Lepisosteus oculatus: one gene and its partners. The protein of the gene in region 1 purifies or fractionates together with the protein of each later gene. This does not show direct contact. Links are inferred from orthologs where the notes say so. Each region holds a gene or a part of one and is shown on either strand. Other genes may lie near its edges. The genes, in order: chd3, mta2, cyclin-dependent kinase 2-associated protein 1 and smarcc2.

The links.
Region 2: the proteins of chd3 (region 1) and mta2 purify together in Homo sapiens (affinity purification with mass spectrometry; 8 studies listed by BioGRID and IntAct, with this or other methods). This does not show direct contact. The link is inferred for Lepisosteus oculatus from reciprocal best matches to the Homo sapiens genes CHD3 and MTA2.
Region 3: the proteins of chd3 (region 1) and cyclin-dependent kinase 2-associated protein 1 purify together in Homo sapiens (affinity purification with mass spectrometry; 6 studies listed by BioGRID and IntAct, with this or other methods). This does not show direct contact. The link is inferred for Lepisosteus oculatus from reciprocal best matches to the Homo sapiens genes CHD3 and CDK2AP1.
Region 4: the proteins of chd3 (region 1) and smarcc2 fractionate together in Homo sapiens (co-fractionation; 3 studies listed by BioGRID, with this or other methods). This does not show direct contact. The link is inferred for Lepisosteus oculatus from reciprocal best matches to the Homo sapiens genes CHD3 and SMARCC2.

The regions. Positions count from the first base shown.
Region 1 is NC_090698.1:7,522,154-7,529,270, reverse strand, and holds the start of chd3 (chromodomain-helicase-DNA-binding protein 3), read right to left. Parts: upstream 3,007-7,117; 5' UTR 2,548-3,006; coding exon 2,379-2,547; intron 1-2,378. Other genes in the region: cyb5d1 (cytochrome b5 domain-containing protein 1), read right to left, coding at 4,506-4,736, 5,312-5,530.
Region 2 is NC_090713.1:21,714,982-21,722,987, reverse strand, and holds the start of mta2 (metastasis-associated protein MTA2), read right to left. Parts: upstream 3,015-8,006; 5' UTR 2,524-3,014; coding exon 2,496-2,523; intron 1-2,495. Other genes in the region: eml3 (echinoderm microtubule-associated protein-like 3), read right to left, coding at 6,503-6,709, 7,315-7,445, 7,980-8,006. UniProt on the Homo sapiens protein: May function as a transcriptional coregulator. Acts as a component of the histone deacetylase NuRD complex which participates in the remodeling of chromatin.
Region 3 is NC_090717.1:7,570,805-7,577,917, reverse strand, and holds cyclin-dependent kinase 2-associated protein 1, read left to right. Parts: upstream 1-4,104; 5' UTR 4,105-4,222; coding exon 4,223-4,289; intron 4,290-5,325; coding exon 5,326-5,423; intron 5,424-5,617; coding exon 5,618-5,744; intron 5,745-6,402; coding exon 6,403-6,470; 3' UTR 6,471-7,052; downstream 7,053-7,113. Other genes in the region: sbno1 (protein strawberry notch homolog 1), read left to right, coding at 1-123, 460-602. UniProt on the Homo sapiens protein: Inhibitor of cyclin-dependent kinase CDK2. Also acts as a component of the histone deacetylase NuRD complex which participates in the remodeling of chromatin.
Region 4 is NC_090696.1:19,696,004-19,703,732, forward strand, and holds the start of smarcc2 (SWI/SNF complex subunit SMARCC2), read right to left. Parts: upstream 3,008-7,729; 5' UTR 2,997-3,007; coding exon 2,886-2,996; intron 1-2,885. UniProt on the Homo sapiens protein: Involved in transcriptional activation and repression of select genes by chromatin remodeling (alteration of DNA-nucleosome topology).

The DNA of each region.
Region 1 (7,117 bases):
GGCATTTTCAATTTGTATGCCGAAGACAAACTTAATTTAAACTTAACAAAAACTTAACACCATTAAAAAAAAACTTTCATTTAAGCGACAAAAAACAGTTATGTGAGAAGCATAATTAAGACGTATTGTTGTTGGTGCCTGTTTAAGAGGCGAGCTAAAATTCCAGGATCTTAAAATATTATGTCAAAACTTAGTCCCACAAACATCCCGGTCCTGCGGATTGAGAGAAGTAAAAAACATGCCATTCGTACAACACGGAAACATAAAACTAAAAAAAAACCAAAAGAATAAATTAAATCAGTTTCCGGCTTCACACAAAAAGCATTACAGTTAAGCTCAACCAACGAACCGGTCTTTCATTTTAGCTCCGCTTACCTACGTTTAACTGAAATGAACGGAGGATAAATTCACCGAGTTGAAACTCGAAACACCTCAACTATTTTAAGAGCAGCATTTTTTTCTGAAGTGTTTGAACAATGAATAATAAACAAATTCCTTTAGTGGGTGTTCTCCCATACTCACAAAAACTCTCCTGGGTCTTTTTTTTCTCAGCGTTGACACGACTGTAGTTTTTACCGCGCTACAGAAGGGCGCCAATCGTGTTTCGTCTTTTGCCTGTTAATTCGTATTTTCCCCCCTTTTGTTTTACAGCCACGTTTTTCCATCGTGTACGTGATGTGCCAATCTCTGTCGTGTTTACAAGGCTTTCGGAGGCTGCTGAAATTTACTGGCCGCAGGCGACGCAATGGAGCTCGCGACTAGGGGGGGAGGGGTAGACACTTCTCTCACGCCGAAGTACAGAGCGGAGCCAGAGGGGTTGGGTGTCTACTCAAACCCGCAGGCTTTCAGCGGCCCGCCGCGCTCAGTTGGTGTAACTAGGCGATGAGACGCCACAGTTTATATCCGCCACCTGCGGCCAGCCAGACACAAAGTTACAGCTGGGTCAGGATGCAGGGGTTATCGGGGGACACGGACTGTGTCTCGCCAAACCTGTTCTCTTTTTCTATTGGGGGGCAATATTTGAAAGATGGTAGGCGAACCTCGCCCTAATGACACGGTAGTTGTCTCCCTGTTTCTGTCTGCCGAATGCAAAAGGTTTCTGGTTGTTTTCTACTGTTTTTTCTTGAGGTAACGTTATCAAATACTCTTTTTTAAAAAAAGCCTACATCTAAAGATCCTGGTACACAAATATGCTTGTGAAACTACATTTTTACAAGTTATTTATATTCATATAACTTGTTTTTTAGTGGCAGAACCCACCCCAGCGTTATCGAAATTGAATATCACTTGTGTATATAAATAAAGATTTGAATTCACTGTTTTTTTAACTGTATGTACTATTTACTGTTTTTAATAATTTAATTTAATATTACAATATATAAAGGTCATATTAAACGTACGTATAGCCTATATACATCTAGGTATTTTCAATACATTAAATATGCGAAATTAACTCATTTCATAGTTTTGGTTACTTCCGAATGTATTCATTCAATCGACACCGACATTAATAGCAATATAACTGCAGATTTTAAGAAATATGGGGCTGTTTCTCATTTTATGAACTTTAAACATCTCGAAGGTTCGGGGGGTGAAGCAGACAGGTCTTTTATGTGTTTATGCATCGCTGTTCTCGGGTTTCTCTCTCTCCTGTAGAGAAAGAAACCATCTGATCTGTATAATTGGGGGTCGCTTGGGAGATCCCCCACACAGACAGCACTGGAAGGAAAAACACTATCTCGCAGTGTGGTTTGTGTACGCTCTCACCCGCAACAGTTACAGACAGCGGGGAGGGTCAGCGGCGTGTCAGTGACTCTCACACTCGGCACACACGCACCAACACCCTCTTTCATGAATCCGGTCACTCCAGAATCCTCCTCCCTCCAAAATAAAACATTTTTTTTCTACATTTACCAACAAAAACAACAAAATAGGAAGGTACAGACGTGTAGGTCACGGCGCCACAGCGGGTGTCAATCGCGACAACAATGATAAGATATTCATACGTACTTCATTGATAAGATATGTACATATGTATTACACGGGGAGACAGGGAAATGGAAAGTGTGCGTCTTCTACGGGGTTGTAGTGTGGTGGTGTGTGTGTTGTGGGGGGCTCTCAAAACTAGGTAGCTATGCGAAAGAATCTTTTTTTTTAAAAAAAGCTTCAAGCTTCGTCGATTCGGCACAGTACTTTGGTTAAAGTTGCGCTTTAACTCTTTAGACTTCCTAAAGCAGTTTCAGTGCTATCTCATCACGGTGTGGAACAGGTAATGAACAGTATTAAAATGGGATTTATTTGCATTCCGATTATTATTCTTATGATTGTTTAAGGTTGTTCCTATGCGCGCTCCCGTGTCTAGGCAGCCCGTACTGTACCTGGCGCGGCTACTGCTGCAGTTTCTCTAGGCGCCGCCGGCGAATATATGTCGCTTGTGTTCTCGTCCAGCGCTCCGTCTTCCCCGTCTTCTTCTTCATCGAAATCTCCACCCTCGGAGTTAACCGCCATGCCCTCATCTTCCTCACAGCCTCGAAGAGGAGAGGACATTTTTCCTGTTGCCGGCCCAGTGTATAGGAAATAAAAAAGGTCTTCTCCCGGAATTATGAAATTTATTTAATATTCAAATCGGCCAAAAAAAATGGGGGGCGTTTTGGAATATTTTACACACAAGGCAGAGAAACAAAGATGGCCGCCCTTATATTTATTTTTTAACAACCCCCCCAATAAGAAAAAAAAATCCCCTTACATAAAAAATGGCTGACTATATTATTTCAAAACGCCCCCCCTCCTCTCACTCGCTCTCTCTCTCTCCACTCTCCCCTCCCTCCATTCTGAAAAAAAAACATACACACATTGTCAAATAAAGGGTGTATTCGTTGCACGTAAATCACATTATCGCGTTGTTTTTTTCATGTGTATTAGCGCTGGTTACTGTCCTTTGTTTCGAGAGCATTCTTATAACCCTCACTCCCCGCACTGCAGAAAGCGATGCGAAATCTAACAAATATGGCTCCCTTCATATCTTTAAAGGCCCCCACCCCGAAATAAAATGATTTAGGAAGAGGGAGCTGGAGGCTGGGGAGAGAGAGAGAGAGAGGGGGGGTTATTCGTGCTTACATCAGCTCGCTATATTAAAATGCAACTTCTACATTTCTGCGCCGAAAAGAACAAAAAACACCCAAAGCCAATTTAGCGCGATTTACAGGCTTAAAACCGAAGTTCAGAGTTATCTTCAAATGCAGAACAGAAATATACTTGCAGCGTATGAAAAGTGAAGCCACTTTTTTTGTTCAAATCAAGCACCGAGATGTAAAATATCCGATGACTAAATTCCTAGACGTTTGTAGGTTGTTAGTATTAATAATAATGATAGTCGTGAAACTGTGAAAACCTTTAGGTTATAGAGGACGTATTTGTTTTTAACATACACAGGGGTAATTAACGCGTATATATATTTTAATCAAACGTGCGGCGAGCAGAAAACGACGAAATTGCCTTATTTTATTACGCGTGATGCCTCCGCCGGACTTTTAACTACAATTATTCTGCAGTTCGACTTGTTGTAAAAGCGCTTTGGGATGCTGCTCAACACGACACGTAGACATGGGTGGCCGATTTATTGATGTGATTGAGACGAGCACAGGATGAAGGAGGTGGTGTCTGTAACCATTAAATACAGAAGGCGCCTAAGAGGAAATGAAATACTTAAAACAACTGAAGAAATAGCCATTGAGGGAATTATAATAACTAGTTACATATTTTGTTTTTATTAAAGAATGCCTGGACTCCTGTAAATATATAGCTGTGTTAATGAACTACACCAATATATTTTACACAATTATGGTATCAAATGTAAGCTGGATGAAGGAATAGGGGAAATTAATAATAATACAACTTAAACAGTGAACACACTAATACCTCATTTAAAAAAAGCTATAAACTTTGGACAAACGTTTCAGATACACACAAGTACAGCTCAGACTGCTGCAGCCCGTGTCCTGCTGAGCAGTGAGGAGCCTGTGGGAGTTCACCTCCACGAGAGGTGAGACTGAACACCCAGTGGTTAATCCAAAGCAAGCTGTGTCACGGGAAGCAAAAAAAGAGGTCCAAAATATCTAGACATGTCTCAAAATAACAAGCAGCGCATTTTATTATCACCGAAAAGCAACCCTTGAGAACAGGTCATGAGCTGCGATCATCCAGCTGTGAATAAAGGGGGAGGGAGAGCGAGAGACGGAGAGAGAGAGCAAGGGGAAGGGACAGAGGGATCTGGAGAGGGAGAGGTGGGAGAAGAGAGAAAGAGGCAGGGACAGAGGCAGAGGGGGATCAGCAGCAGCTGGTCAATACATGTCTCAGACTGGAGAGAGATCACAGAGATGGGGCCGGTAGAGCTGGGTGGCTCCCAGGGTCGTGAGACCAGAGCTCAAAACTGAAGCAGTTTCTTGGCGAAGCAGAGAGGACTAACAGGACAGTGGAAGGGGTGTGGACGTGCAGTGGAGCGGAGCTCACAGTTCGGTGAGATCGTCGTTGAAATAGAGACAGATGGACTGTGTGAAAAGGTCCCGGTCCATGCGGAGCTCATAGAACTCCTGATCCTCGTCGGCGATCCCGTTCTCCGACAGCGTCTTGCCCATGTCCAGGTTGACGCCGCCGTATTTCCAGGTGTAACTGGCAGCATGGGAGTTGTACTTCAGGTAGCGCTGCAGGATTTCCGACATTGTCTCCTCGGAACACACCTGGGACGACAGGCGAGGGAGACAGTCGGGACACCGAGATCTGTGCCGTCACCTGAATCACAGGTTCGAGCACAAAGGGGCCTCCCAAGAATACTCACTGGGGTTACACAAAAAAAACCATGAAAAACAACCGCGATGCAAATTAAGACTCCCGTTGCACGGCAGTTTGACCCATTTCATATTTTACTAAGTATTCTGAATAAGCAAATCGACAAATAGCTTTAATGTTTTTATCCCCAGGCAACAGTACACGTAAATTAATGCAAAATGCGGGAACAAGCCCAAAATATCCAGCATATATCCAAGAGCTTGCTTTTTTTAAAGAGAAAATGGAATAGTTTTGCTATACAACCTGTGATATGAACACTTTACAGCTCCGAGACTAGAAATACACTCTCTGTACGACACTAGAAATGTCACTGTTTTTTTGTCCTCTTTTTATTTTTTTTTAAATATTACATTTGGAGGTATTCTAGGAAATAAATAGGTGAAAACCGTACTGTCAAAATCATGAGAAATGCCCCTTTTTTTAAATATTGCAGGAACGCCTTGCCAGGCAGCAGTGCGCGGCTCACCTCCAGCATCTGCTCCTGGGAAGTCAGCGTGTTGATGATGCGCACGTGGCGGGTCTTGGCTGACAGGACCCCCACCTCGTAGCAGCCGTCTCTCCACCAGGGGCAGCCGAAGTCGTTGGCCCAGTCGGTGCAGGGCCAAGGTGGAGGCACGTGGACGAAACGCCCACTGGGGGTGTAGTACTTCTTGCAGCCTGACAGGGGGTCGACGTGGGTCCGGATCTGTAGGTGACAAGGTTGCTTTACAAACAGAGGAGTAAGGAGACAGTGAAACAGTGCCTAAGACCTGGACCTAGAAGCAGGTGCTATTGTGTTTCTCTCTGCCTAGCAACCCATAAATGGTTATTATAAATTTATTTGGCTTGCTCGTTTATCCATAGAGACTTACATGCAACCATTTATGCTGCTGGGTGTTTTACTGAAACCTGCCCATGGGTTCAAAACCATTGCTCCAGCCGGGAAATGAACCTATTCCATTTATCAGTCCAGAGCTCTGAGTACTGTCCTGCATGGTTAGCACCAGCACTGCAGTCCTTCAGCTCCCATTACAGAAGATCAGGTAGCACCTGCACATAGTAATGTAATACTATGCCACTATTGTTCACAGTATGTATGATCCTGTGTGTCAGCCTTAATGTAGAACTTAACACATGAGGTGTTTACAGGTGTTCACAGACAGGTGGGAATGACACTTATCTAACAGACACAAAAAAATCAACTATGTACCCTGAAGAGGCCCAGTTACTGACGTTCTGTTCATCTGAATGAAGAGGGGTGTGAAACCCAGAAGCTGGTTGAAGGCTGATAGCTCTTACTAATCCTTCCAAGATTTTTGACAGCTAAACTAAAATTTCTGATGAGCTCAGCTGGAATAGAAGGGTTTCAAAGGGGCTCCCCTCTGGGACAAGGCCTATGAACTGGTAAATGGCGAAGTCTCATTCACTAGAGATTAAAGACTTTAACCACGGACTATCTTTAGGCTGTGAAAATGCTGCAAAGTACAGTCCCACACTGACATCTACAGGCCAACTTACTTCACTGCAGTGGAGACACAGAAGTGCTGTGCTGAAAACAAGACACTGACCCAGTGAGGCCCTAGCAAACATCAGCAATGGGCACAGTCTGGCCATTTTATGAGGACCTCAGAGAACAATCTGTTGCTTGTTTCTTTTTTTTATAATTTGCAATCACTCTTTTTACAGTTTCCTTTATTTCTTAATCCCTCTGAATCAGGAATTCCCGTCTGTTAGTCTACTGGGATCCCGTATGGGGAGGGTGTGGACAGCGCACTTTCCTCCTCCCGTTGAGCCACCTGCGCGGTGAGACAGGAATGCAGGTTCCACTGTTGAGAGAAGCAGTGATCTTTGCAAACAGCAAAGATCTGCCCTACTACAAAATAAGTACAAACATATTGAGTTCAGCCAGCAGCCATATCACCCTGCAACTCATAACTGGCAACCCACTGAAGCTCAGCAGGTTGCTGAGGAAGGTTGCTGCTGGAAGAGGTGTTAGTGGGGCCAGCAGGTGTCACTCACCCTGCGGTCTATGTGGCTCCTAATGCCCCAGTATAGTGACGGGGACACTATACTGTAAAAAAGGCATCGTCCTTCGGATGAGCCATAAAACCGAGGTCCTGACTCTCTGTGGTCATTAAAAATCCCAGGGCATTTCTTGAAAAGAGTAGAGATGTAACCCTGGTGTCCTGGCCAAATTTCCCATTGGCCTTTACCAATCATGGCCTCCTAATAATCTCCATCTATGAAGTGGCTTTTTCACTCTGTTCTCTGCCCCACTGAGAGCTGGTGTGTG
Region 2 (8,006 bases), on another chromosome or scaffold:
CAGACACACTGACCCCTCCTGGACCAGGACTGGACACCCCTGCTGCAGTCACACTGACCCCTACTGGACCAGGACTGGACAGCCCTGCTGCAGGCACACTGACCCCTTCAGGACCGGGACTGGACAGCCCTGCTGCAGACACACTGACCCCTCCTGGACCAGGACTGGACAGCCCTGCTGCAGACACACTGACCCCTCCTGGACCAGGACTGGACACCCCTGCCATTATCTAACCCCAAAAACTGGTCTTTACCGCTCAGTGTGGGCAACCACCCCCCTTCACAACGCACACTAGAACGAGAGGGTATAAGGACCTCCAGATCTAGGAGAGGAAAAAGCTCCTGAAAACCACCAAGACGGGCTGATGACCACACAGGCCAGCGGCACAGCGAGCCTGTTCCAGCAGCGGGGGCTGGACCCAGAAGCCGGACCCTGCAGACCCTCAGGGCGCGGAGAGATGGGGGCGCAGCGCTGAGGTCGCTGGAGCAGAGATACGGGGCCACCAGGGCCGCAGGGGAGGGCTGTCCTGAGTCACTGGGGCTCTGGTGTGGCCCGGGGCCAGGAGCAGAGGGTGAGAGTGTGCGCACGAGAGCAAGGGGGCGTGCAAGTAGGTGTGCACAAGAGCACGCACCACCAGGGCAGGGAGCAGAGGGTGAAAGAGTGTGCAAAAGGGCAAGGAGGCTTGAGCGAGTGTGCACAAGGGCAAGGAGCAGAGGGTGAAAGAGTGTGCACGAGGACAAGGAGGCTTGCACGAGAGCGCACACCAGGGCAAGGAGCAGAGGGTGAGAGGGTGTGCACGAGGACAAGGTGGCTCGAGCGAGTGTGCACAGGGGGCTCGCACGAGAGCGCGCACGAGGGCAAGGAGGGTGCAAGGAGGTGTGCACAAGAGCTCGCACCAGGGCACACGAAGGGAAGGAGGCATGAGAGAGCCTGCAGGGGCATTAGTAGGGTGGGCAGCAGGGAGACAGGCCGAGACCTTTCTGAAGCCCACCGCCACCGCCGCAGGGGGGGGGGGGGGGGCCTGAACCCCAGGCGTCTCGCTCACTCCTGAAAAACTTCCACCTTAAAATCGACTGGGTCGCTTCGAGACCCCCCCACCCCGGCAGGCCAGGAGACAGGAGACAAGGCAGGCTCACGTGTGTCTCTACACCGTGATACTTTGCCCCCGGGGGTGGGACGAAAAGGTCGGGGGGGGGGCAGACAGTTGTTGGCACGTCCAGCAGCGAGCCCCCCGCGCTGTGGCGGGGTGGATGTCTGTCCCACGGGCGCCCTGGCTGTGTGTTATTGGCGTCACAGTCCACGCACGGGGAAAGAGGGGGCGGGAGGGCAGCTCCTCAACAGCAGGGCTTCAAGATATAAAGAATAAAGCCCCCCCACCCCCTCCCCTCAAGGCCTCGTGCCTGCACAGCGGCCCCCCGAAACCCCCTCCTCGCTACCGGCCGCGCGACGGCTTCCGACACGGTGGTTCCGCCTTCGCGATAAAATCCGCCCCCCCCTCCTCCTCCTCCTCCTCCCGTGCGACAGCCACAGACACGCAGGCCGCGCGGACTCCGCCGGGGCTCCCGTTCAGCTGGTTTCCACGCCAGCTGCGTGGCGTGTGCGCGCCACGCGTGCTCCTTTTGTGTTTGTTTGGTTCTGCGCGACCATACCGGTTACCCTCCACTCGAACCGTGTGTGTGTGTGTGAGAGTGTGTGTGTGTGACCTACATGTCGCCTTTTCAGACGCGACCAGAGCAGATCGCCTCTCCGCACCGCCGAGCCCTCGGTAACGTCCACACACACGCTCGCTCGCTCACGAACCCCGTGGCGTGGGCAACCTGCGTCCTGCGTGGAGTTCCGCGAACAAGTCCCCGAAATAGTTTGTATTTATTTATTTTTTTTAAACTGAACAAATTCAAGTCGTCGTCGTCCTCCCTCCCACCTCGCACGGTTCAATCACCCCCCCCCCAAAAAAAAGACACCGGCGGTTCCGGGACCTTAAACCGGTTGTGTTAGATTTTTTTTTACTTCCCAAAATTCAGCCTCTCCGGACAGGAAGATACGAACCGTCTCGGCGTCGGCCGGGTGTTTTTTTTTTTCCCCTTTCTCTTCGCACAAGAAGAAAGGAAACAGTTTGCGGTTTTAATTTAAAACGACCCCGCCACCCCCCTCACTCACACAAACACAAACTGAATAAAAATCCTTCGCCAAACTTCCTCCGGAGATCACCGGGGGGATAGAGAGAGGGGTGCTCGGGGCCTAGGGCTTCGACGGCAGAACAGAGACCCGGTTCGATGTCACCGGAGCACCGGGATGGATCGGTGCCTCTTCTCCCCGAACCGAGGATGACGATGATGATGATGATTCAATTCTCGCTGGCTGGAGCGACACGCACGGAAATAAAAAAATATGCAACCCCCCCACCACCTCCTTCACCATCACCTCCTCTCTGCATCCTAACCCCCCCACCTCGGGACAGGAGCGACCCGAACTCGGAACCCGACTGGCGAACTCACCCCCGACTCTGTACATGTTGGCCGCCATTCTCCGGTCGCCGTCTTGAACAGACACCCGGCCGAGGGAAACCCGTCGGCTGCGGCCGAAACAATTCTCCCTTCTTCTTCTTCTTCTTCTTCTTGAAATAGGAATTTAAAAAATAAAACCACACACACAAAACGAAAGAAGGGAGGCAAAATCCGTCTCCCGGCGCCGATCCGATCCGATCCGATCCCGGTTCCCCCTCGGAGGCGGGCCGCCCTTCGCCTAGAAACAAAAGGCGAGGGATCACCCGCGCCGCCACTCGCGAAGTTACAACTTTCCGTTACAGTGTTGTCCAGGTTTAGCCCCCTTCTTTTTTCTCTCTCTCTCTTTCTTTTTGGGTGGAAGAAAACCCGTGTCGCCGCCCGCCGCCCCACGGCTGTTCCTGTCCGGCAGGGGAGAGTCCACCAGCGCCCTCTCCTCCGCAGTCACTCGCTCACAGTCCCGACACACAGCCACCCCGTCTCTCTCTCTTCCTCCCACCCTCCGCTCCCAGCCTCATCCTCCTCTTCCTCACCTCTCTTCTCACACACACACGCCACATCCCCTCCTCCCTCTCTCTCTCTCCCTCCTCGCCGGCTCACGTCATCTTCAGGGGTGGACCATCTCGCCGCCCGGGCCGGACTCGCCTCGGCCGCGCTCGGGTATCTCCGGCGGGTTTCGTCTCGGCTGGGGATCCCGTCTCGTCTCGCCGAACTACCCGCACCAGGGCGACACCGAGCGACAGGCCAAAGCAATGGACAATGAAACGCACCCCCCCGGGTGTTAACACATACCCCTCCCCCCCCTTTGAATAATCGCAGAAGTTGCTCGCACTGTATTTGTGCATCGATACGTCTGATCTACGCAGCCCCCCCTCGAGGGACGGGAGGGGGCACAGCACGCCCTGGATTCGAACCCGCAACGTCCAGGAACCCTTCCCGAAGATGCCGTGCGAGAAATGCTCCCGTCGCTCTGTAATTATCCTACCGGGGACACCAACGCTTATTGAACTTTTCTGTGTGTGTGAGGAGGAGGAGGGGGGGAGTTTTTTGCGACACGTGTTTACCGCTTTTGACAGCCACAGCCCGGGGTCATGCGAGGCGAGGGCGTCGTGTGTTTTAAGGCTGGCTGCGGTGGTTTGCATCGCCCCCCCTGCAGCAGTCCAAGCCCGGGGGGAGGGGGTCATTAAGAGACAAGGTCGCCGTGCACGCAGCCGGGCGCTGGGACGTCCCGAGGCCGGTCTCTCGGCTCCGCTGCGCCCCACAGCCGGCGGTGGGCACGGACGCGGAAGTCCCGCCCCGCTCGGCGGCTCCAATTCGACCCGTCGTGCGGGACCGGATCTGGCCCCGCCGCCGCCGCGCTCGGCACCGCAAAGGCCGCACGGGCGGAAAAAGTTCCGTTTCAGCGCGTTTTCAACCCACCAGTTGTTATCGGGGGGGGGGCGGTGAGGCGTTCGACACTGAAAGGCTAACCAGGAAGACGCCAGAGGAAACTGAGTGGAAGAGTGGTTCAGACTGAGAGCGGGCGGGAAGGGAGGGAGGGAGAGAGAGAGACACACACACACACTTTACACATAGGGTGGTGGGAGTGTGGAACAAGCTGCCCGGCCGCGGTGCTGAAGCCGATACCCTGGCTTCTTTCAAGGCACAGCTGGCTGAGATCCTACAAGCAGGACAGGAGGCACCGCTCTACGCCAAGGGTGGCGGGAGCGTGGAGCTATTTTCCCCAGCCACGTTGTTGAGGCTGATAACCTCGACGTCACTCAAGACGCAGCTGGGTGAGACGCTCCAGTCTGGGCGCAGGAGGCCCGCCTTTACACAGAGGGTGGTGGGGGTGGGGGACAAGCTGCCCAGCCGTGGTGTTGAAGGCGATACCCTGGCTGCTATGTATCGTATCCATCTTCTCTCTCAGCATGCTGTAACAGTGCTGCGCCGACATCTTGCTTGGTCTTCGTCTTTGTCATGTTGGGGTGCTGTGTAAAACAAACTTCCCCAGTGGGCAATAAAGCTTGAATCGAAACTTTCGAGAAATGGATTGACCCTGGGATCGATTAACTTCTAAGTAAGTGGGTAGGGCTGCACACTGGTGGTGGTGGAGGGGATCCCCAAAACCTGTAAAGTGCTTTGAGTGGAGTGTCCAGAAAAGCGCTATATAAGTGTAAGCAATTATTATTATTATTATTAAGTTATGACCTTCTGGTTGGGAGACCTCTCTGAAGTTATTCATCCTTTGGAACAGCTGTTTTAGACGCAGGGGGGTCTCAAGACTGGTCTCCCCGAGACCCCCTGTCTTTTCCGACTCCTGCTCCAGTCTGGGCCGTGATGTGCCAGTGTTGTCTTCCAGCTCGGAAAAGACGAAAGGGAACTGCAAACGGGTATCAGCTCGTTGTGGGGTTGTCTCGCAGAGTTTCACTCCCGGTTGTGTTTGTGCGCCACCCGTGGGCAGTGTTAGTACGTGCCGTGTCTTAAAACCAATAACTAAAACTAAAATAAGGCCGCAAACTCTTAGCTCGTTGGAATCGGAGCCATGCAGCTGAATTGCAGGTCGTTGCTGCCCTCTGCTGGCAACACGTGGTACTGCGCAGGAGGGAACACAATTGACCGAAAGCCTTCAATTAAACCTACAGTCTCAGAAAAAATATTCTATTTTCTTTTTTAACTATAAACAGCCACAGTGCCGGAGGAGCCGGAACGTCGCTTGAGTGAAGCCGGCGACGAGCTGTTTCAAGCCTTCGATACACGAGCTAGACGGACACACCGGACCTCCAGTGGGGTCAGAATTCAGCCCCCCCCCTCCCCGATTGAGACACCCAGCTGCAGGGCAGGGGACCCCCATCACGGCCCTCAAGGGCCACAGTCCACAGTCAGGGTAAGTGGGTCTCTTCGAATCTCCCGTTTCTCAGAGACTAGGAAAAAGACCCCACCTGTCTGATTCAGCCCGTAACGAGTTCAATGAAGTCATGGAGGGGTAGGAGGACAGCCCACACCCTCCTGTCTCCCCATGAGCGACGCTGTGCCCCCCTACTCTAGGATGGGGGGGGGTTCTAGGTCTCTTTCTGTGTTCAGCACCTACAGCAGCAGGGATCCTATTTAAATCTGTACTGTACATGTTGTATGCATGTCCCACCTGTGTTCTGTGCTGTACCGAAAGCAAATTCAACCAGCTACAGTTGTGTGGCAAGAAAGAATAATCTAATCTAATCTAGGAGCCCCCTGCTGGTGGTCCCAGTCCAGTCTCACAGCCGGGAGACCCCCCACCAGACCAGCCCGCTGTCGCACCCCAATGACCTCCACCCTGCTTGGTTCCGAGATTTCTTTGTTTATTCCAGGAGGGGGGGGGGAGGAGAAGCCAAGAATCACATTTTCTGGAGTGTAGGTTTTGCAACAAAAACAAAACAAAAAAATCAAAAATCAAAACAGACATAAGACATAAGCATCTCTATAAAACAATCTCTGTACAGAATGAGAAAAACGACGTTTGGTCCGAAATCGTGGGCCTGGGTTTGGTGGTCCCTCTGCAGCCCGAGGCGCAAACCCGAGGAGGAGGAGGAGGAAGAGAGAGGCTGCTGAAAGGAGAGGAAGGTCCCGGTCCGCTGGCTTGTTCTGTTTGGAGCTGCCCTGACTCACAGGATCTCTCATGGGTTTTTCTGGCCTAGAGAATCTGGGTGCAAGGCGGAGTACACTCTGGACGGGACGCCAGTCCATCACAGGACACACACACACTGACACACCAGGGCCAGTCCATCACAGGACACACACACACACTCACTCACCCTGGACGGGACGCCAGTCCATCACAGGACACACACACACTCACTCACCCTGGACGGGACACCAGTCCATCACAGGACACACATACTGACACACACACTCACTCACCCTGGACGGGACGCCAGTCCATCACAGGACACCCACACACTGACACACACACTCACACACCAGGGCCAGTTCTCCCACCAGCCCGCGCCTCAGCCGTCAGCGGTCTCTCTCGGGGCCCCTCTGCTCTAGGGACCGGGCTCCTGGGAGCTGACGGAGTTGGAGGACACCGAGGAGCTGCGGTCCAGCGGGGCGCCCCCGCCCCCGCCCCCCGTCACCCTCCACTGCAGGATGCAGGTGTCCTTCCCACCCATGGAGATGAGGTGGCTGTCGTTGTGGGTGAAGCGCACGTTGGTCACATGGCTGCCGTGGCCCTCATACCGGTGGCTGGGGGCCTGTGGGGGGGGGGGGGACAGAAAAGGGGTTAGGGGAGACGCCCCCCCAGCAGGGTCTGCAGCTTTCCGAGCGGATCTCGGTGGGACTTGGGGGGGGGGGTTTGGGGACGAGGCTGGCCGAGCGACACAGGGCTTGGCATCGTAGGGACCGCCCCCCGCCCCCCGCCCCCGCTGGGCGCCGGAAAACGAGGCCCCTGATGCGTCGGGGGGGACGGAGCCGCTCGGAGCGGGATTCCCACAGGCCCAGTGCCGGCAGTCCCCCCCGAGGGGCCGGCTCGCTCGCTTGCGCTCTCGGCCAGCAGGGGGCGCTGTGGAGGGTGGGGTCAGGTGACCTCCGCCAGCCCTCCAGGGTCAGGGGTCGCAGGTCAGGACCCAGGGTCAGGTTACACAGCTACAGCCCGAAAAACTGAGGTTAAGCAATCAGAGGTTGCAGTCTGAGGGGGTATACCCTCATGTGGCTTTGTGATCTCTAAGGACTTCGCTTGTCCTTCGACAAAATCACGTTTCTGGTGAGGGAGGGACATCTGTTGACCCCGGTGGGTGCTGTACTGAAGACAATGTCAGGGTGTTACAGGCCGCCTGTGGGGGTGGGTCCGCACACTGACCTTGGGCTTGGGACAGGGGTACTGGAACAGATGGACCTTGCAGAAGTCATCGGCCACTGCCACTGCCCTCTCGCTGTGAGAGCGGCACAGCGCGTTAATGTCCGTGCCATCTGAGCCCTCCAGCCACACTCCTGAGACAGGAGGGAGAGGAGGGAGAGACAGCAGGGATTAAGACAGGAGAGTGAGAAGGGAAAGACAGACACGTTTAATTAATCCTTTATTCCTTCAGTCATTTTCTCATGTCCAAGGAGCTCACGCCACTGTGGTGCAGAAGGCAGAGCAGTCGATAAAGAGTGAACAGATGAAGGGAGCAGGACAGGACAGTGTTGACAAGTGCAGGAGCAGAAGACACAGTAGCCAAGCACAGACAGGAGCAATCGATAAAGGACAAACAGAGCAGGACAGGACAGTGTTAACAAGTGCAGGTGCAGAAGACACAGCACCCAAGAGCAGACAGGAGCAATCGATAAAGGACAAACGGAGCAGGACAGGACAGTGTTAACAAGTGCAGGTGCAGAAGACACAGCACCCAAGAGCAGACAGGAGCAATCGATAAAGGACAAACGGCGCAAGACTGCGTTAACCAGGGCGGAGAGAGACGGAGAGGAGAGAAAGGGGCTGCACGGTTGTGCGAGTGTGTGGGGCTCCGGGGGGGCGATGCTCACCCATGACGTGGAACCCCAGAACGCAGG
Region 3 (7,113 bases), on another chromosome or scaffold:
TCCTGTGTGGATCGGTGCTCAGTGTTTGGACTAAAGTAGAGGGCGTTTTAGCGTCGGTCAGTGGAACCAATGTGAAAATGCAAATCGTTCGTTTAAGAACTGAGGATGGACAAAGAATCGTTGGTAAGTGATGATAAAGTTCCCTCATCCCCACCCCCATGCAAGTCATCAGGAGGCCCCTGTTTACAAGCTTTAGCCCAGTGCTGTTATTTCATTTTGTTTTTATTATCTGTAAGTAGCATACAGCTGTTTATTATAACTAAAAGTTCATATGTTTTGGGCTTATTTAAATTTGGTTCAGGGTTTGCCTACCTAATTAACAAATGTGATTAGTAGTTAGGGTACGATTGGGTAGTTTGCTTTAAGGAAATAATACTATTAGTCTCTTAAGCGTCGGTGCTTCCTTCTACTGTAAAACTATCCAAGACCAATAATTTTTTTAATGTTTGTCATTGACAGGTTTGATCATTCCAGCAAACTGCGTAGCCCCGCTGATAAACATCCTGTCCTCGTCAGACCAGTCTCAACAACTTGCTGTCCAGCAGCAACAAATGTGGCAACAGCTTCACCCACAGAGCATTAACGCCTTCAGTAACACATAGCACCCAGCGTGGACTGGACAGTGGACTTAATGTGTTACATTTAAGAACATGCTCTGTGAGCACATTGTGAGGCAGTCAGAAGGAAACATTCAGGGTTCTTGTCCAAAGAATTTTCTTTCATTAGAAGTTCACTGGAACATTCAACACCTCGCACTTCAGTTCAGAACTGAAGAGACCTCTGTGAATTTCTGGAGGAGAAATGTTGAAACAGATAAAATATTTCTTCCTCTTTTTTTCATAACGTTTCATGTGCTTTCTACTGGCTTCTGGTCATAATTACAGGTTTGTTCTGTATCTTCTGCAAGTGGAGTGCTTGAACTTTATGACATATTACAGTGCTCAGGGGTTAGTTAAAGAAAACAATCACTTTTTTTAACTCTGATATGCTGAGAATATATATTGAAATGCATGTCACCTCCCCCTCATGTTCCTTAATGTGTTGATGCATACATTGTACAAAGCATGGAATTGCAAGTTTACTACACTGCATACAAATGTTTCCTGTTCCTTTCATTTAGTGTACCTTATATTCATGCTTATGAAAATGGTTCTCAAGGTGTAAATTCCTTTTAAGACCATGTTCACCACAGGGTTCAACATGCTAAAATTGTGACCTTGCATGATTTTAAAAAAATATCATCCCTGTTTTCCCTTTGTGGTTCACTTTAGAATAAACATTTCTTTAATCATAGCTAATTTAAACAAAAACATTGGACTTGCAGAATGGCTAGTCATTGATCTTCAATAGTATGTTCATGAAGGTATATACTACCTTTTGTTCTTAAAATCCCCAAGATATCAGTCTGTAAACTGGAATGTCATTTACATTAAGGCCACTTCAACCTTGTCTGGTCTTGATTTATATTTTTTAATTTTCTATTTACACATTTTAATATTTGCTGTCTCTTGAAACAGATCTGATGCATTTAATTTCAGGACGGGACACAAGACTCTTTATAAAAGCTTTTCATTTGTGCTGTAAATGTTATAAGATCGAAAATGTTTCTCTTAAACTGGTATGGATATTTTGCTGTACAAATGTGTATAGTTACATATCTTAAATATGAATTGTTTGGCTTATAAGTAAAATTGATGTTTATAAGATATTGAAGGACAATGTCATTTCATGCTTGCACGAGTTGCACTACTGACAGATTTCATTGTATATTGAAATTAAATCTGTTTAAATTACATTGCTGCAAGATTAGGACATCTTGCATATGACCAATAAATCTAGAAAAACTTTGTGAGTTGTGGCTTGTGTCTAAGAGAATTATAGGAAAAAACTTTTTTGCTTCTTGAAAGTGTTTCAATTTGAAACATTCATTTTATACTTGGTTCTGTGCTTCAGATTAATTTTCCTCATGATGGTTTTCAATGGACATGACCAGAATGTTTTAGAGCAAGCTTGATTTTTTTTAAAGAACATTTTGTACCTCATACAAATGGCATGATTAGTCAAGTGTTTTTTAGAGCAATTTGCTGAATGAGGCAGGTTAGTTTTTTTTATTTTTGTTTCTACTCTTTATTTCTAAAAAGGTATAATGTTTTCTTCTGTACTTCAATGGAGGGCTCAGGTTCAGCAACTTCTGACTGCAAGCAAATGGGTTATTTTTAATTTGTCTGCTGAGAACTAAGAAAATAATCAAAGACTATAGGAAGATGAGATGCAGTTTGCTGCATGCTGATTACCTGATGAGATTAATCAATGAAAGCTACACATTCTTTTTCCAGGCTTGATTGTGATTGATTATGGAATCTGATTGTTTCTATTGCATAATGTATATGACCACATAAGGATTAAATTGTAATTATATTTTGTTGGAGAAGGATCTACAGCATATTGCTCAGGACTATTGGTTGGGGATCTCTTCCACTAGGAATCACCTCATGGAGTGTTTTTCAAGAGCCAAAAGCCAAACCTTCTTGGTTTGGGATTTCTGTTGCACAGAGATTTAAACACTTTTTGCTTTAGTCCTACTGCAAAATCCTGTTTTATGTAAAAAAGTAAATGGATCTACATTTGAGTTCAGTTATACTTTATGCAGTTTACACAAAAATAATAATCTTAAGGTCTATGTACCAAATAAATTTTATTTTTATCAAGTTTTAGATTCCTTGGTAAAACCTGGTATTTGCCTGATAATCCTAACTATAATGTGCTCTCATTGTTCCATACCAGGCCATTCCTAAAATTAACACTTGAATGTACATTATATTTGACTCTATAGTTGACTATTTCTCCTGTTGCTTCACACAGTCAATGGGTTATTTTCAGCTGATGGCCATCCTATTGTGCATGACAATAGCAAATCGTGGCCGTGTATAAACCAGGCTTGTGGACAGGCTCCGGCAGTTTGGGTGGTGAAGAGAGAATGCTTTTGTAAAAAATCTGGCCAGGAGGCTGTTTAATTTTGAAGATGAGCCCACAATCCCCCCATTCTCACACCCCCCAGTTAGGTGCGGAGCACGGAAAACGGTGGAACATGCGTCTCGACAATAGGCAGACAAAGTACAGTGCTAGGCATTCACGAACTCGCGCCATACGTCACTCCTGCTACCCATGGAAAAAATTAGCATTCACTTCGCTCATGTCGTGGGGTGCGAAACGTGGGCGGGGGAGGGGAGCGTGTTACACGATAGGAAGAGGTTAAGAATGGCACGCGTCCCCATTGTCAGACTTAGAAGTTCCTATGGCTGCCTCGTGCTTTTTAGATTTTTATATGCATCTTATATAAACTCATACATTGTATGAGCTAAGTAAACCGCTTATTTTCTAAACGTATTGGGTACGTTAAGCAAAATATGCGGGAAAATAGACCACCTTGTTGTTTTTAACTACCGCTTCCAGACAAACATTTAATCATTTTTGTCTGGAAAAGGAAATTATTGTAATTATCGCAACCCTTTCCTACCATGCATTCTCGATCTAGGTGGTAAAATATTACGACTAAAGTATTTACAGTATGTTCTCTAAATCTATGTGAGGCGGCGGGAACGCATTTTTCTTCCTTGCTTTAAAAGTAATTGCAATTATTAAAATATCAAAAAGTTATTGTTGCACGTTGATGAATAAAAAAAAAACACCTCGTCCCCTTAGTTTTTTAAATTAAAAATACATCTAAAAAAATACGATGGGGTTCTTCCTAAAACCTGTGATTGAATTTTTTTTTTAGAAAGTTTAAAACTTTAATTTGAAGTATAGCTGACGAAGATAACCCATCCGTTATCGTAAGAGTTGCTACGAGCCCGATTAAAGCAAAAATAAAAGTTTCAAAGTTTGACGTGGTCAGTAACCTGATAAAAAAAAAGCCAGGGTTCGGCAAATAATGTTTTTTAAAAAGCGTTGTTTTAAAATAGATTACGACCTCAAAAATATGAAATCTCTTTTCAAAACCGAATTTTAATCGCCGCGGCGTTTCCATATGAGTTTTGGGTCTGACCTCCTCGCTTTTGGTCAAATTGCCATAAATTTCCCATTGTGATGATAGATTGCATTGTGGGTGTCAATATAAAGTGACGGCCATATTTGCCGGTGCGGCTGCTGTAAACAAAAAGTGTCTGAGAGAGACAGAGACGCTTCAGTGAATTTCAGGACATTTTTATTTCTTTAATTTATAATGTCTCTGGGAATGTCTTACAAACCCAACCTCCACCCGCACATTCCTGGGACTTCCGTGAACCAAGGTAAGGCTGAAATATCCGCGAATTCTCCACTGAATCACTGTTTTATTAGATGCAAAATCCGCTGTTATAATGAATACCTGGGGAAAGCCCGTGTCTGTAGTTTTTGTCCAGTTATATATATAGGGTCAGATCCTGAGAGCTGATTCATATCCGCCATTATTACTAATCATAAAAGCTTTTTTTTTTCCGCATCCGCAAAGTAGAGAAACGGAGGTTAACTCTTCGCTGGGGACCGGGTTTGCGGTAGCCGATACCCGCTTTTGTTCGCACGGATGCTGGAAGAGTGTTATAAAAAATGTATCACTTTGGCTTCTTAAATCAGCCCGTTCGGTATCCTCCATGATTGTCTCCCCAGGGCCGATGATTGATCTGGATCAGGAATGTTCTTTTTTTACGCTCTGGGGACACCTAGCGTTCAAAATGGCTTACTGCACGGAAGGCTTACATGAATTGAATGCCTGTAGTGTAGGTGACCGAGAGAGACTCAATTGCCTAAAAAAAAATCACCTCTGAAATACGGAATACCAGCCGAAACGTTGTGTTTCATTTCTTCTCTTTTCAGCACGGAATAAACCTGACGCAGCTACCTACTCGCACCTCTGAAATGTGTTTTTCTAAATTCTAAATAATAATGATAAGTGTCCAAAATTCTCAGAAGCTACGCCAGTACGCACATACAATTGTTTCTGAATTGTATGTGCCACCAATTACCCCGCGGTGCGACGCAGCAAATATACAGAGGCTATCTCACTTTAAAATATAATTAAGAGATTACATATAATTTGAATTCTAATGAAGTCTTACGAGTAGCATTGACAATTGAAACTGTCACGATTTTGCCTTGCGAAATGTAACACAGTACAGTTTAGAGCGTTCACATCTGCAAGCAGCAGCGAATGTAAATCAAGTACAACACAACGTGCCCTGGCTGGAGTTGTTCTTCTGTGTTTCGGGGGGTGGGTCTGGGGTGTGTGGAGGAGCTTCAGAAATGAGAAACGATTCCTTTTGACCTCATTGTCCGTCTCTTTTCCTCCAGTCGGGAATGTCCACTCTCCTTCCACGAGCTTAGCCACACTGCAGTCTTACCGGCCACTGGTGAATGACTACGGGCTGCCATCCTTGGGATTTTCACAGGTAATTTTAGCTCGATCAAACCACCTGGTGGTTAGTCTAACTGAGGCGGAGGTCGTGCCAAGAGAGGCTGGTGAGCAATTCCGTTCGCTCTCCGTGGGCACAGATGTTGCCAGTCCCTTGCAGATGCCCTCTGTGTGGTCAGTGAATTGCCCTTTCTAAGAGGACTCAGCCCAGGAACTGTTCTCCTCTTGCAGGGGACCAGCGGAAATCAAGTGCCTCAAAGTAAATATGCAGAACTCCTAGCCATCATCGAAGAGCTGGGCAAAGAAATCAGACCGACGTATGCTGGGAGTAAAAGTGCCATGGAGAGACTAAAACGAGGTAATTAGTTTTGTTTAAGTGAGTCATTGAATCTATTATACCTTAATCAGCCAACTACATCACAGTGTACTTTGGCTCCGTTTTCAGCAGGTTTTAATCCCGATACAAAACAGCATTCATCTTCCGGGATGCATCTTACTGTGTAAATATAAACAGGTGATCTGTAGTCGCATGCAAACTTCTGACTACTGCAGCCACTACACAAAGTGGAGATGGAGAGAACCACCCAAGGCTCAAGTCCAATATTTTCCCAGGCTCTTAAAACATAAGAGTGGATACAAGCGAGGGGAGGCCGTTCAGAAGATGTTGCCTGTTTTGATAGTTAGTAGGTAATTGTTCCAGCTCATCCAGCTTGTTCCATACCCCCACCAACCTTTTTGTAAAGTTTAAAACTCATTTTCACTTAGTTTGCCCTTGTGTCCTCTGGTTCACGTTGCAGTTCTCCAGTTCTCTCTGAAAAAGTCTGCTGGGGTGGACTGTGGCAGTGTCCTCAAGCATTTCATATGCTTTCTTACGGGGTCCCCTAGTCGCCCTCTCTGTTCAAGGCTAGAGAGATTCAGTCCCTCGGCCTGTCGGTGGTGTACAGTATAGTGACATGATGGCAGGGGCCCTTGAGCGAGCGAGAATGATGACGTGTTGTTTTTCTTTCTTTTCCAAGGGATCATTCACGCTAGAGGACTGGTACGCGAGTGCTTGGCGGAAACGGAGAGAAACGCCAGGTCCTAACCACGGGAACAATGCTTTCACACAGAAACCCTGAACAGCATCTCGCAACCCTGCCTTCTAATCATTCTCTTTTCAGGAAAGCCAGATAGCTTTCCAGGAAAGCCAGATAGCTTTCCAAATAATAATAATAATAAAAAACTTTTGACGTCTGGCCTGAAGAATGCAGAAACGAAAGCTAAAAGACCAGTATATAAAACTATACTTGACATGAACCTCTTCAAGGGTTCTTTATTCTTTTTTTTTCCATAGGGGGATTTCTGATTCTTTCTTGACTGCTTATATATAAAAAAAAATAAAAAAAATAAATAAAAATCTGATGACTTTGCATGCATGGTAGCAAGTGCTCCCAATTAAAATTTAAAACTGCATGGCTTGTACAGATTTAGACTGTAGCAAGGGACATTTTAAGATGGAATAGGGCCTAAGATTCAATATTTTTAACACACTAATACTTAGGAGACTGAGAAAAGGATAGTGCCAAATACACCACACACCGGATTTGGATAAACTATTGTAATAAAGCCATTATTTGCATCTTTGTATGTATTTATTACTCAGTGTAATAAAACTTATTTTCATTAAGACCTGCTGTGTTGAGAGATTCATTTCTGTAGGGTACCATTGCACAACTGCAATTCTGTAT
Region 4 (7,729 bases), on another chromosome or scaffold:
GACACTACAGTACATTAACACTGCACTGAGAGAGAGGGGTTAATACAGACATACTGACTGGACACTACAGTACATTAACACTGCACTGAGAGAGAGGGGTTAATACAGACATACTGACTGGACACTACAGTACATTAACACTGCACTGAGAGAGAGGGGTTAATACAGACACACTGACTGGACACTGCAGTACACTAACAGTATTTATTGTTGTAGTCTTCTTATTTATTGTTATTGTCATCCTGTAAAGCGCTTTGAGAAGCCACCTTTAAAGGCGCTATATAAAATAAAGTTTATTATTATATTATTATTACACTGAGAGAGGAGTTAATCAAGACATACTGACTGGACACTACAGTACATTAACGCTGCACTGAGAGAGAGGGGTTAATACAGACACACTGACTGGACACTACAGTACACTAACACTGCACTGAGAGAGAGGGGTTAATACAGACACACTGACTGGACACTACAGTACATTAACACTGCACTGAGAGAGAGGGGTTAATACAGACACACTGACTGGACACTACAGTACATTAACACTGCACTGAGAGAGAGGGGTTAATACAGACACACTGACTGACTGGACACTACAGTACACTAACACTGCACTGAGAGAGAGGGGTTAATACAGACACACTGACTGGACACTACAGTACACTAACACTGCACTGAGAGAGAGGGGTTAATACAGACACACTGACTGACTGGACACTCCAGTACATTAACACTGCACTGAGAGAGAGGGGTTAATCAAGACATACTGACTGGACACTACAGTACATTAACACTGCACTGAGAGAGAGGGGTTAATACAGACACACTGACTGGACACTACAGTACATTAACACTGCACTGAGAGAGAGGGGTTAATACAGACATACTGACTGGACACTACAGTACATTAACACTGCACTGAGAGAGAGGGGTTAATACAGACATACTGACTGGACACTACAGTACATTAACACTGCACTGAGAGAGAGGGGTTAATACAGACATACTGACTGGACACTACAGTACATTAACACTGCACTGAGAGAGAGGGGTTAATACAGACACACTGACTGGACACTGCAGTACACTAACAGTATTTATTGTTGTAGTCTTCTTATTTATTGTTATTGTCATCCTGTAAAGCGCTTTGAGAAGCCACCTTTAAAGGCGCTATATAAAATAAAGTTTATTATTATATTATTATTACACTGAGAGAGGAGTTAATCAAGACATACTGACTGGACACTACAGTACATTAACGCTGCACTGAGAGAGAGGGGTTAATACAGACACACTGACTGGACACTACAGTACACTAACACTGCACTGAGAGAGAGGGGTTAATACAGACACACTGACTGACTGGACACTACAGTACATTAACACTGCACTGAGAGAGAGGGGTTAATACAGACACACTGACTGGACACTACAGTACATTAACACTGCACTGAGAGAGAGGGGTTAATACAGACACACTGACTGACTGGACACTACAGTACACTAACACTGCACTGAGAGAGAGGGGTTAATACAGACACACTGACTGGACACTACAGTACACTAACACTGCACTGAGAGAGAGGGGTTAATACAGACATACTGACTGGACACTACAGTACACTAACACTGCACTGAGAGAGAGGGGTTAATACAGACACACTGACTGGACACTCCAGTACATTAACACTGCACTGAGAGAGAGGGGTTAATCAAGACATACTGACTGGACACTACAGTACACTAACACTGCACTGAGAGAGAGGGGTTAATACAGACACACTGACTGGACACTACAGTACACTAACACTGCACTGAGAGAGAGGGGTTAATACAGACACACTGACTGACTGGACACTACAGTACATTAACACTGCACTGAGAGAGAGGGGTTAATACAGACACACTGACTGCGTAAAGCAATACGCAGCACTATACAGTACATCACCCTAAAGTGTCATACAATGGAATACTTCAAAAATACTCTAGTATGTTAACGGACACTGTAGTTTAGCACATTACTACACAGTACAGTTACAGTACAGAGACACTGACTGAACACTACAGCACATCCAGGATCAATCTTCAATATCAGTCAGTCAGTGTGCAGGAGGTTGCACTGTATAGTAGAGTACAGCACTGACCTCTCGTGCGTTTCTCCACTTTGCGCCGCGCGTGAATCACTTCACGCAGCACACACGCGCTGCGATAGGACAGCACATCTGGCCGCTCGGCAGCCTCGCGCTCCGAGCCGGGGGCTGAGTGGGGCTGGGCGCTGTTCGCGTGGGAGGGGGCGCGCGCGCGCGCGCGCGTGTGTGTGTCTGTCTGTGACAGCGCTGAGGTTTTGTCGCGCAACATCGAAACGCGAAACTCCCGCACCACACGACCCCGCAGTGTTGACGGGGCGAGGGGAGGAGGCCACGGCTGTCAGAGCCGTTATCTCAGAACACGCACGGCTCCCCCCGCCGCCGTGCAGTACCGCTGGCTACACGCCAGGGGCTGCCAGATGTTAACAGCTGGCGAGAATCTCCGCCTGCCAGTTAAATTGCGAAAACAGACAAAATCAAGGAATGACACGCACGCAAACACACTAAACACACGCCGCGGCTCAAACGCGACAGGTTGCCCCCTGCTGTGCACTGCGATTCGTTCCGCGCGCCCGAACCGGCAGCCCGAGGGGTCGCACCCCTGCAGCCGGGATGACGGGGAGAATAACATCGGGGTCTCTTTTGTTTTCTGGGCGGCTCTCATTGTGTCTCGGCTGAATCGCTCAGCCGGATTCAAGAATTCCCCCCGCCTCACCCAGCCCCCTGGTCTCCGGAGCTCTTTTTCAAAAAACACCCAGACATGGCATTGAAAAAGGGGGGAAAATGAAGAGGTACCTTTTTGTAATTCTTGCCCAACCAAATGCGGACATTGTCGAACTGCGAAACCGTATCGGACGCCTCGAAATATTTAACATTCGGGCCGCCGTCTTTCTTCCGCACCGCCATCTTTGCTGGGTCGCCTGTAGACAGAACAGGGGGAGGGGGATCGGGCGCCACCTGGCGGCTGCTCGGCGGCGCTGCGGGTTTGCGGCCAGCCGCGTCCAGGGAGAGGAGGTCGAGGCGAAACTGGCGCCATCTTGGCTCCGGTACCGCGGCCAGACCCCCACAGTGAAAAAGGAAGGAGTTAGATCCAACATGGCGCATCCTGCCGCGCAGTTTCTCACATAAATCGTCTCTCCTCGTGAAATACCGTCTTTATTAATTCGTCATAGAGGATTTTATCATAGGCAAAAAAAAAATGATTGCTGGTGTCATAAACAGAACGAGGAGGAAAGACGAGCTTTTTAGCACTAAATATTTATTTTTTTTGCCATGTGTAAGTGAGTGTGTGACAGACGTGCAGTTTTAAGGTCAGAAAAGGACAGTCTTCATTTAAATAATTGACTGAACATGATTGACTGTGGGTACACAACAGTGAAAAATACAATAGTCCCCCTTGAATGCAGAAGAGCAGTAACAGAACTATTAAGGATGAAGTAATATGTTATCAGGGACAATAATGGACAATAGACAGCACCAGGGAAATAGCTGATGTGCCAAGATAAGGTCAGATCACTTTATTGGGCATGTACAGTTTCTTGCATTAGGAATTTGTCTTTTCACAGACCCCAGCTTGCTCTCCCTGAGACACACAGACAGGGAGAGAAGCTGGGGGTCAGAGCGCAGGGTCAGCCATTTACACAGCACCCCTGGAACAGCTGGGGTTAAGGGGCTTGCTCAGGGGCCCAACGGAGTAGGATTTCTCTGCCAGCTGCAGGATTTGAACCAGCAACAGGCGCAGATGCTTAGCCACAGAGCCACTGCTCTGCCCAAAACTTGTGCCGTAAGCTGTTATGGGACCCGAATCATCTAGACAGAACATCTATCGACATCTGCTGCACCGATGGGCTCCTAAAGGAGGAAGCCTGCCTCAGTAACACAGTGAGGAAGCACACAGTTGTATTCAGTTCTGTCAGCACAGGGTGACACGCTGGGGCACTGGTCAGCATTGCTGCCCACTGGCACTGGGGTCCAGGGTCGAATTCCAGACCTGGGGTGCTGTCTGTGTGGAGTCTGCATGTTTCCTTCGTGTTCCTGTAGGTTTCCTCCAGCTGCTCCAGTTTCCTCCCGCAGTCCAAAGCCATGCTGGTGGCTTGTGTCATGGCTGGCCCTGCTGTGAGTGTGTATGTCTGTGATGGACTGGCGTCCCGTCCAGGGTGTACCCTGCCTCATGAAGTGGGTAGAAAGCGGATGGGTGTCTTTGTCCAGAAGAGGCAGAAGTGTTTTTTAGTACTAGAATGACGAAAGATGAATAAATCCCCATGACTCAGTGGTATTGTACCGATTTCACTGAAGGAAATGAGAAATGTGGTTCAGAAGCCGCTGACACAACTCTTCGGACGCTCACTCAAGGGAGGGGTCGCACCCAGGCACTGGAGAGCTGCCAATATAGCACCCCTCTTTAAGAAGGGTGACTGAACCCTGTAGGTAAATATGGACCGATAAGTCTGACCTCTATTACCTACAAGATATAGAAGAAGGTAACAGACCCAAAGTAAAGGTTCGCCTGCAGTATGTGGTAATAATACCCATGGGAATAGACAACAGGACTTAGACCAGGGAGGCCTTGCGTGACTAAGTTGTTACAGTTCTCTGATCAAGCAACAGCAGAACTGGATACGCACAGAGCTTAGGAAAGAGTGTATTTAGACTTTCAGAAGGCTTTCGATTAAGTTCCATCATTAAATATTAATTTCCAGATTAGGGCATCAGGCTTTCAGGGAAATGTGTGTCTGGATTTGGAACTGGTTTACTAATAGAAAGCACAGATTACAGATGAGGGGTTTATGCCCAGACCTTGGTAGTGTCTTTAGTGGAATGTGACCAATTCCAAATGGGAGGACATCCACGCACCTGGTCCGTGTGGCAATTATTAGCTCATTGATATGAGGATCTCATCCGGCTGTTTCTTGAAAGAACCCAGGGAATCAGCTTCAACCACATGGCTGGGTAGCTTGTTCCACACTCCCACAACCCTTTGTGTAGAGCGTATGGAACAAGCTGTCCAGCCATGTTGTTGACCCTAATTTCCCGGCTTCTTTCAGGAAGCAGCTGGATGATGACTTCCTCAGATCAATTGGCTACTCACTGCCTAACGGGCCAGAGGGGCTGAGGGGCTCTTCTTTGTAACAGGTCTTGTTCACTTCTCTTCTTCAGAGATAATAATAATTGCTTACACTTATATAGCGCTTTTCTAGACACTCCACTCAAAGCACTTTACAGGTAATGGGGATCCCCTCCACCACCACCAGTGTGCAGCCATAGTGCGCCAGAACGCTCACCACACATCAACTATCAGTGGGGAGGAGAGCAGAGTAATTAAGCCAATTTATAGAGGGGGATTATTAGGAGGCCATGATTAGTAAGGGCCAATTGGAAATTTGGCCAGGACACCGGGGTTACACCCCTACTCTTTTCGAGAAGCGCCCTGGGATTTTTAATGACCACAGAGAGTCAGGACCTTGGTTTTACGTCTCATCCGAAGGACGGCGCCTGTTTACAGTATAGTGTCCCCGTCACTATACTGGGGCATTAGGACCCACATAGACTGCAGGGTGAGCGCCCCCTGCTGGCCCCACTAACACCTCTTCCAGCAGCAACCTTAGTTTTTCCCAGGAGGTCTCCATCCAGGTACTGACCAGGCTCACACCTGCTGAGCTTCAGTGGGCTGCCAGTTGTGAGTTGCAGGGTGATATGGCTGCTGGCCATATATATATACAAATAAAAATATACATACAAATAAAAATAAGTAATCAATAGTTATATAGTGTTTTTGTGGACACTCCATTCAAAAAGCTGTACAGGTAATGGGGACTCCCCTCCACCAACACCAGTGTGCAGCCCCACCTGGATGATGAGACAGCAGCCATAGTGCGCCAGTATGCTCATCACACACCAGCTCTCAGTGGGGGGGGAGAACAGAGTGATGGAGCCAGTTCAGAGATGGGGATTATTAGGAGGCCATGATTGGTAAAGGACAGGGGGAAATTTGGCCACGACATGGGGGTGCAGGGGGGATTGGGGTGGAATGGTGGCTCTGTGGCTAAGGGTCTGTGCCTGTGGCTGAAACGCAGTGCGCTGACACCCGGAGGCTGTGGCAGGGATTACAGTCAATCACAGGCTACAAGGGCTGCAGCCAGGAGATTGACACGAACAACGCATCCCTGCCTGACGAGCTGAACCATTTCTATGCCCGCTTTGATGCTCTGAACATGGGCAATGCTGAGAAGACCCCAAGTGTGCAGGGCAAGTTTGTTCTGAAACTCTCAGAGCAGGACGTGCAGAAGACTCTGAGCAGGGTGAAAATCCATAAGGCTGCAGGGCCTGATGGGATACCACCTCGCGTCCTGAGGACATGTGCAGCCCAGCTGACCACAGTGTTTACGGACATCTTTAACTCCTCCCTGTCACAGTCCATGGTCCCCACCTGCTTTAAAAAAAACACTATTGTTCCAACCCCCAAAAAGGCAAAAGTGACATGCCTGAATGATTACCGCCCAGTAGCATTAACATCTGTGGTGATGAAATGCCTGGAGAAGCTGGTGTTGTCACACTGCAAGGAGTCCCTGGACCCCTTGCAGTTTGCCTACCAAAACAACAGATCAGTGGATGATGCTGTCTCCCTGGCTCTGCATACAGCCTTGGAACACCTGGACATTAAGAACTCGTGTGTGAGAATGCTGTTTGTGGATTACAGTTAAGCATTCAATTCCATCATACCCAGTCAACTGGTGACAAAGCTCAGGGGATTAGGTCTGTGCAACTCTGTCTGCAACTGGCTGCTGGACTTTTTTATCGAGAGACCACAGGTGGTGCGGATAGGCTATAAAACATCACCACTCACCCTGAGCACTGGAACCCCACAAGGCTGCTGTCTGAGTCCAAGGTTGTACTCCCTATTTACTCACGACTGCACAGCAAGACACAGCAACAACCGCATCATTAAGTTTGCCAATGACACCACTATAATAGGACTGATCAGTGATGATGACGAGTCCACTTACAGGGATGAAGTTGTACAGCTGCTTAGGTGGTGTCATAGCAATAACCTGGACTTGAACATAAAGAAAACGAAAGAGCTTATAGTGGACTTTCGGAGACACAGGCCATACACTCACAGCCCACTCAGTATTGATGGAACGGAGTGGAAACAGTCACCAGCTTTAGGTTTTTGGGAATTCACATCTCTAAAGATCTAACCTGGACTGTGAACACTGACTCTATCAGGAAGCAACGCCTTTATTTCTTGAGGTGCCAGTCGTGGGGGATGCCAATACATGTGCTGGTGAACTTCTACTGCTGCACCATCGAGAGCATCCTCACCAACGGGATCACCGTGTGGTATGGCAACACCTTTTCTCGAGAGAGAGAGGCACTGGAGAGAATGGTCAATGTGGCCCAGAAGATCATCGGCTGCGGTCTCACCGAGATTAAACAGCTCTATGAGGACCGCTGCCGTGGTAGAATTCTGGCCATCACAGAGGACAGTCACCACCCCGGGCATGAGCTCTTCACCCCACTGCCCTCAGGCAAGAGATATAAGAGCATATGGACACTGACCACTAGATTCTTCAATAGCTTCTATCCACAAGCAGTGAGACTGGCGAACACATTTAGCCATCCCCCTCGGACCACACCTA